Linked DNA regions of Arabidopsis thaliana. The protein of the gene in region 1 interacts with the protein of each later gene in a biochemical or structural test. Each region holds a gene or a part of one and is shown on either strand. Other genes may lie near its edges.

Region 1 (3,753 bases):
GCTTGTGCTGTACTTCCTATATACTCCTGTTAAGTTTCCTGTCGCCGCCCTCTGATGCAGACTCACCAGCTTCCGTGAACATTCCCTGCGAAACCCGCGATTACAATTAAAAAGATCAGTCTTTTTTCCTGCAAATAGTTTTGTTTATGGACTTAAAGGACCATTCTTGGTAAAAAGAGAGAGACTTACATGAGCTGGTCTTCAGAGTAATGACAATGGAATTCACATGTACTGTTCCATTTCCTGGAACCATCAAGTGTACATTGAGCAGTGTACACAGATGTGGCAGCTAGTAATGATGGTGGAAACCGAAGCATCTCGTACTCCACAAGGGCAAGCTCGATCAAGAACGACGCCAAGACCTCACACTGTTTTGTTTTCAGTTTCACAGTTAGTTCCTTTCTAAAATTCAAACTTCTAGTTAAACTGATTCATAAGTCCATTATTTTTAACTAACCTTCTTGTCTGCTTGAGCTGCCTTGAGGAATCTTTTCAAGAACGGGTATTGTGTCGGTAACGAGATATTGAATTGCAAAGTACTCAACATTGTTTTCTCCTGTAAAGAAGAAAGAAATCATTTAATCAAAGAATGTCTTTAACATATATGAGACAAGATTACTTTTTCTATTAAGTAAAGAAGCCAGGCCTTTACCATCTCTAGAACATCGTTCCTCGTATACGCTTTGTCCGAAATGAGTACTAAATCTTCGACAACAGGAACCGAAACCTCCTCATACTTACAAGCTAACAGCAAAGCTACTAACCCTACAAGCTGAAGCTTCTTTCTCATAACATTTTGCTTGGACAAGAATCTATCTATCAGATTCACTGTCAGAAACAGTGTCTCGTTTATCAGATCAAACTTGTCATGTACCTGAAAACGTACTCAAGCATCTTTAGCCTCTATCAAACTACACAGTACAATGTGGAATGTTGTTGATAATATACCTCGATTAACCAGTCGATTAGTATTGCTCTCATCTTCTCGTTTAAGTCGATTTGTTGCATCATATAGTCTACTGGAACACAACTAAATCTCTGCAAATTCAAATCAAGAACTGTCTTAAAGAAGCTCTCAAGCCACTTATTACTTCAAAAACAGATAAAACTAAACCATAATTTACCTCCATTGTTCTGTAAAATGCGTAAAGATCTTGAACATATTCAACAGCCGCAAGCGAGTTCTTCGAGTCTAAGACATCGATATCCACGATCGGTTCTTCCACTGTTACATCCTCCATCTCAACTTCTTCCTATCCAATCAAAATTTTCTTGTAAATCATTGATTTATGAATTAAATCCATCAACAAAATTCTGAATTCTGTTTTGTTGTTGTTACCATTGGATCAGCTTCAATGTATGGTTTCTCAAGCGACATTGGCATTGGAAGGTCCAATGTAGCTTCCTCCTCATCAATAAATATACAATCACCGAAGTCGTTAGCACTTGGAACTGAGGGCTTCAGCTTCTTGTTAGTCTCTTCCTCAACTCCAGATCTGCAGATTCAAAAACAAACTCAGATCTTTCTTTCTTTAAAGTCAAAAAACGAAATGAAAGATTCAAGCTTTATGTACCTTGTAACTGAAGGACGCAAAGAATCAAACTTCTTCTTTTGACATCCTTCTTCTTCTTCTTGCTTACTGATTCAAATCAATCAAAACCCATAAGCACAATCAGATTGAAAAAAAACACTAACTTGTGAGAGATTAGAGATTTTGTTAAATTTACTTAGACAATAAGCTTCCTCTCTTGTTGACAACACAAGGATAAACTCTTGCACCAGCGAGATTCTGGTTAATCACACGCAACACTCTTCTCTTCTCCCTCTTCATCTCTTGTCCGAATTTTCTACTTCTTGTTTCATCTAAACAAAACCAGAAAAGAACACAACACATTCTGTCAGAATTCTCCTACGCAAACTGTAAAACACCTCGAAATTCTCGTATATTACTCGACAAATTCATCTACTACCTTGAAGAATCGTCGTTGAAGTGGGTTTAACGAAGATTTTGTTCTCGCATGAGTTAACCATTTTTTTTTTTGGTTTGTGATTATTACAAGAGAAACCCACAAAGAGAGTAGAAGAAGAAGAGCATTAAACGAAGAGAATCTGAAGAAGGGGATGAAATAAGCAAAAGAGGAAGATACAAACAAAATAAAAAAAAGTGTTGAGTTTTTAATTTTAAAAAAGGAACGGCTAGGATTAGAATTTAGAATATAACCGTTGGATCATGAGGGAACGATTTACTTCTAAGTTTGGTTCATATTCAGACAACGGTAACTTTGGTTCAAGGCATGTGGCTTTCGTCGTATTTCAAAAAAATTATTATTCTTTTTTGTTATTTTGGTGGCTTAACCTTTTTTTTTAAGACACAATTGTACGCTCCATAGGCGCGCCTCTAACAAACTTTTTGATTAAAACTTTATGTTTTATCTTAATCAACAATCTTAGGTTATTAATTAATCACATTTACAGAGCTAGTCATGCTTTTTAGTCTATCTTATTCTTAAGAGAAAGTTTCAATATGAGACAGACAAGATTCTGTACTGAGAATTATGCTGGCCCGTGGGAGTTATTGTTTCCGATTTGAAATTTATTTTGTAGGTGGATATTTACTAAAGTATTTGGAATTTTGCTGGCCTGTCAGAGTGTTTATTTGGAATTTAGAATTAGAGCTTACATTTCAGGATTTAGAATTTAAATATAAACATAAATTGGCTATTGGCAATGAAGAATATCAATAATGGTTTGAACACATTAATGTTTCTAGCTTTGACAGATAAAAAAAATGTTCTAAAAAAGTTATGGAAGTTTTCGAAAGATTATGTAACAATTAATTTACGGATCAATTATGAATAAAGCACTTAAAAGTATATGTCGTTGTTGATACATGCACAAAATCATGTGTCTATGCAATTATGTACTTCTCTCTCTTGTATTGACGATTTTACTCTTCGTATTATTAGCAATTAATTTGTTTTTCTCGTCTATGTTGTCCTCTTCTTCTTCTACACAACCTTTCCCATAATTCAATCAAAGAAACAATTAAATTACCCATCAACATGTGTGTAGATTTTATTAAATCTTTGATTCTCTTTGTTTGTCTTCCTTGTTAAACATGTAATTGAAAAGGTTGATTCAATTGAATTCTCAAATATGTAACTGATTTAATATGTGTATAAGATTGAAACATTTGGGTTCCCTATATATATCATCCTCTTAGGGTTTATATTTCTTTTAGCAACATGCATATAATTGGATTTATTGGGTTCAAAAGGTATAGAAGAAGGAAGAAGATCAATGAAGGTTTTGGAAGAAACAGAAAAAAAATCCAAAATCGACGTCACAGAAGGAAGAAGAAAGGAAGAATAAGAGTAACACTGTAATTTTACAGACCAAAATATGCTCATTTTCATAAGCTCAAATGAAATGTCATCTTTCTCTAATATTTGGGCTGAAATATGTTCATATCTATAAAAGCTCATTTAATTTACAGATCGTGAGATTTAAAAACCTTATAAATTTTTTTAAAAAACTTGCTAAATAAATTGTTATATTACTACGTTAACAAATTCGGCTATGCTTGATTTTTTTTTTTTAAAACAATGTATGGTATCAACAACAAGTTTCCTTCGTTTCTTTTGTTTTGGAAAAACTTGTGAAATCTATTGGAAAACTTGTGAAAGTTTGCAAAAAGAGGAAAAAAATTGAAAAAATACTTTTACAAGTTTTTTGTCCATCACCATGAGCAC
Region 2 (3,753 bases), on another chromosome or scaffold:
GTTTGTCATGTAAAAGGTGAAGAATCAACAAAGACTTACTTGAAAATATGGAGGAGCTGTTGGAGCTCAGAGTCTCCCTGAAAGATTGCTTGGTTGGTCACAAGTTCAGCTGTAAATGGTGAAGGAACAATGTTAATTGTTGTTGTTTAGTAACTTAAGATGATATCGCAGTGACTAGTGAAATCAACGAGTCTGAAAAGAACACATACCAAATATGCAGCCAACAGACCACATATCCACAGCTGTAGAGTAATGGGTGGCACCAAGAAGAACCTCTGGAGCTCTATACCAAAGAGTTAATATCTGTTGCAATGAACAACCGATTCAAAACCATAAGTTCTACAATACATACAAAGTGGGATAAGTGCAAGAAGCAGTGTCAAACATTGATTACCTCATGGGTATACTTCTTCATTGGCAGAGTGAAGGCTCTGGCTAAACCAAGATCTGCTATTTTGAGCCTCATTGTCTTGGGATCCATCAAGAGATTGTGAGGCTTGAGATCTCTGTTTTGAAACAAGGAGAAATAGTAAGAAGAAGAAATCTCTCTTCCAAGTTATTATCTAAAATCATTCTCACTTAGAAGTTGAAAACAAGGGAAAGCCAGAGAACAATTCACCTGTGCAATATCCCGTGACCATGGCAGAATGCCATACCTTTGCATAGTTGATACATCAAGCTCTGCAAATAACTTTTCAGAATGTTATGTTTGGTTCAAGTGAGCACAAATGAAGCGAGAAAGAGAGATGACAGTAATAAGGTGGTTAAAAACCTTGATAGTTTGGGTTGGAATGTTCTTGCCAGTGCTACGGAAACTTCTGATGAATTTCTTGACATCAGTGTCCATGTATTCAAAAACCAGGTACAGTACAGTTTTGCCTTCTTTGCTTAGTCCTTGCTTAACATCCATTAACCTGAAAAAGATGACAAATAAAGTTTCCGTATATAATTGATTTTGCAATCACTGGAAAACTAACTGATACAGCGATCCAGATCAAACTCTAGGGAAACATCTATCAACAGTTTCTCAGAGCCAAATCATCTAACAATTAGTAGACTCTTCGAACTGATTACTACGATTTGAAATTGAGATCTATCTAATCTGGAAAACAAGCGAGATAGTGAGAAATCGACTATATAAACCCTAACGCGACTACAAGATCGAGAATATGGGGGCAATTTTATCGAATCAGAGGTAAAACCCTAACCTGACGACGTGAGGATCACGAGCGAGCATTCGCAAAATGGAGATCTCGCGGAGAGTGGTGGAAGGAACGCCTTCTTCGTCCTCATGGAGACGCGTCTTCTTTAGAGCGACGATTTTCCCGGTAGCTTTCTCTCTGGCTCTGTAAACTTTCCCGTATGTCCCTTCACCAACTTTCTCAAGCTTCTCGAAAGCATCCATGGCGGAAACTGCTATAACTCCCTCGTCCATCGCTCTCTAAAATTCTTCTTCTCCGGCGCTCTCTCTCTCTCAGTTGGTTCTTATTGGGAAAGTGAATTGTCGGAGATCAAAGTGTAGATAGGTTATATAATTAAATGAGACCTGAAATTATAGAATCCTTATTCTTGGGCTTTCACAACGGACTGATTTTTCGAAATTCAAACTGGAGCGTGGAGGAGCGGTCTTTTCATAAACGCCTTTTTTTAATTTGCCACGTACTATAGTATTTAATTTTAATTTTTACATTTATTCATTTGTGTCCACTTGTCATATATATCCGTAGGTACTTTGATTTGGTCGCACCATATACAAATTATGATCGAGAAGGCAACAAGAAGATTAGTGAACCCAAACACAGACTTCTTCATTAAAAAAGCATTACTCAAATCCTTTAACTTTGAATATCCTTTTCCTAAACTCAACTTTGAACAATAAAGTTTGCGTAAATCAGAAGACGACTTCAAAATGGAAAGAGAGAGAGAGAGAGAGAGCTAATGAAGTTTATGGTTAAAGGGAAAACCAAAACAATAAAAAAATCTTTAAGCAAATTGCTGACCGCTGGTGGAAGAAGATGAGATCGTAGTGAGAACATCAGTCACCGAGGCCATAACACTCAATGCCGCTTTCAAAACATCTTGAGAGCAACCCGGTTTCACAATCGTCCTCACCTGATCAAGATACTCCTGCAGCTTCTTGATTTTCCCCATGTAATCCTGGTCTTCTACACACAGACTTACCGCCTTTGCATCTGCACCTGGACCATCATACTGGACTGGTCCTGGGTTTCGGTACATATCTTCCATCAAGAATTTCTGCGCGTTTTGTCTCAATAGACTGCAAAATCATTTGACAAATTATATCACTTGATTTCATGTTCATTCTAATCTTTGTCTAATGAGTGAGGAACAAAAGCTTACTCGTATGCTTTTCCTTTCAAGTCAACTGAAGCTGGATGAATTACAGGTCTACCAATCGTAGTAGAACCAGAATTTTGGGACCAACGCTTAACCGTCATCATTGCCTAAGGTTAAACAGAGAAAGAGATTGGGGTCAGTAAAACTGAAACTTGAAGTCAGAAATCAACACATATACTAAACAACTTTAGCCTTATAAATAAGAGACAAAACTCAACTGAGATAGGCGCAGCCCCGCATTTCCATTTGTTTACAGGACTCTTCAGGTTAGTCACTGTCGCCATGTAACCATTCAAACCAGCTGCGAGGATGTGGTAACATACATGTCCAAGAACCTGCATCAAAGTTATAATCAATGGTGTGAATGTCCATAATATTGAAGTTGCAATAGCATTTTAGTTTGGCGATCACATACATAGGCGTAGTCACAATCGAATTTTGATGGAAGAGATCCACGAGCTTGGTAACCAAAAAAGTGACAGATAGCGTTGAATTTCTTCCCTTTGTAGGTTCCTTCTTTCTGTCATTTTCAAAACTTAGTTTTAGGGACAACTTGAATATTCAGGCAAGGTTATTCAAAAAAATTTGAAAAAAATGGATTGTGACAAGTGAAAAAGATGTGCAACATACCAAGCGCTTGTTCATTTCAGTCTCCACAAGATAAGCCAGAAGTTTCTCCGTCTCAATCTAAGAAGAAAGTAAATGAGCAATTAGAATTCCAACTTTTTATAGCACAGTAACTCCATCATTTTCTTTCTTCTTACCTGGGATAGCTGAGCAGAATCATCAGACTCGGGATGGAGAAGTAGCTGCAGAAACAAAGAAGACAATTTATCATAAGAACACATACTCGTTTACATGTGAGAAAAAACAAAGAAAAGTACCATGTCAAAGAATTAGAACCTGTTTCTTAATGAATGGAGGCAAAAACTCAAACAAAGCAGATGACCAAGATGACAACTGAGTAGAAATATTATCAACCTGCACACCCTCCTTAAGCAATCCATGAATTTCCTGCATCGCACAACAACATGTAAATGCTTACTATGTTTTGGAACTCAAGAAACAATAAAAAATAGCACATTAAATGATAAATAGAAATGTTTGCCAGTATTGAATCGTTACCTTCAACAGAGCATAGAGTTCAGGAATACTCTCAACAAGCCCTTCAGGAATTAGGATGACTCCATGATTTTTGTCTGATACAAATAGACAGTTTATCAATAAAGTTAGGGAACAAGCAAAAGACATCACTTCCAACATACCAAAAGCTCGTTTTAGTTATCAGACCTTGTTCGGCTCTTGCTTGAACAGCATCACAGATTTGTTTTATGATGTCAAATATTGTGAGCTTAGATGCTGTAACCTCCTCACCCAGTATCACCTGAGACAATC

Evidence for each region. Proteins that work in one complex are often made in the same cells at the same time.
Region 2: the proteins of CYCB2;1 (region 1) and CDKB2;1 form a complex in vitro, tested with the Arabidopsis thaliana proteins (one study listed by BioGRID).

What each region holds. Positions count from the first base shown.
Region 1 is NC_003071.7:7,662,443-7,666,195, reverse strand, and holds the start of CYCB2;1 (Cyclin B2;1), read right to left. Parts: upstream 2,142-3,753; 5' UTR 2,033-2,141; coding exon 1,972-2,032; intron 1,865-1,971; coding exon 1,729-1,864; intron 1,641-1,728; coding exon 1,575-1,640; intron 1,497-1,574; coding exon 1,340-1,496; intron 1,254-1,339; coding exon 1,125-1,253; intron 1,039-1,124; coding exon 949-1,038; intron 875-948; coding exon 653-874; intron 557-652; coding exon 458-556; intron 369-457; coding exon 190-368; intron 86-189; coding exon 1-85.
Region 2 is NC_003070.9:28,720,917-28,724,669, forward strand, and holds the start of CDKB2;1 (cyclin-dependent kinase B2;1), read right to left. Parts: upstream 1,635-3,753; 5' UTR 1,436-1,634; coding exon 1,209-1,435; intron 915-1,208; coding exon 773-914; intron 682-772; coding exon 620-681; intron 507-619; coding exon 395-506; intron 304-394; coding exon 210-303; intron 110-209; coding exon 40-109; intron 1-39. Other genes in the region: AT1G76550 (Phosphofructokinase family protein), read right to left, coding at 1,984-2,278, 2,362-2,465, 2,577-2,693, 2,774-2,878, 2,989-3,045, 3,123-3,167, 3,262-3,372, 3,484-3,557 and 1 more.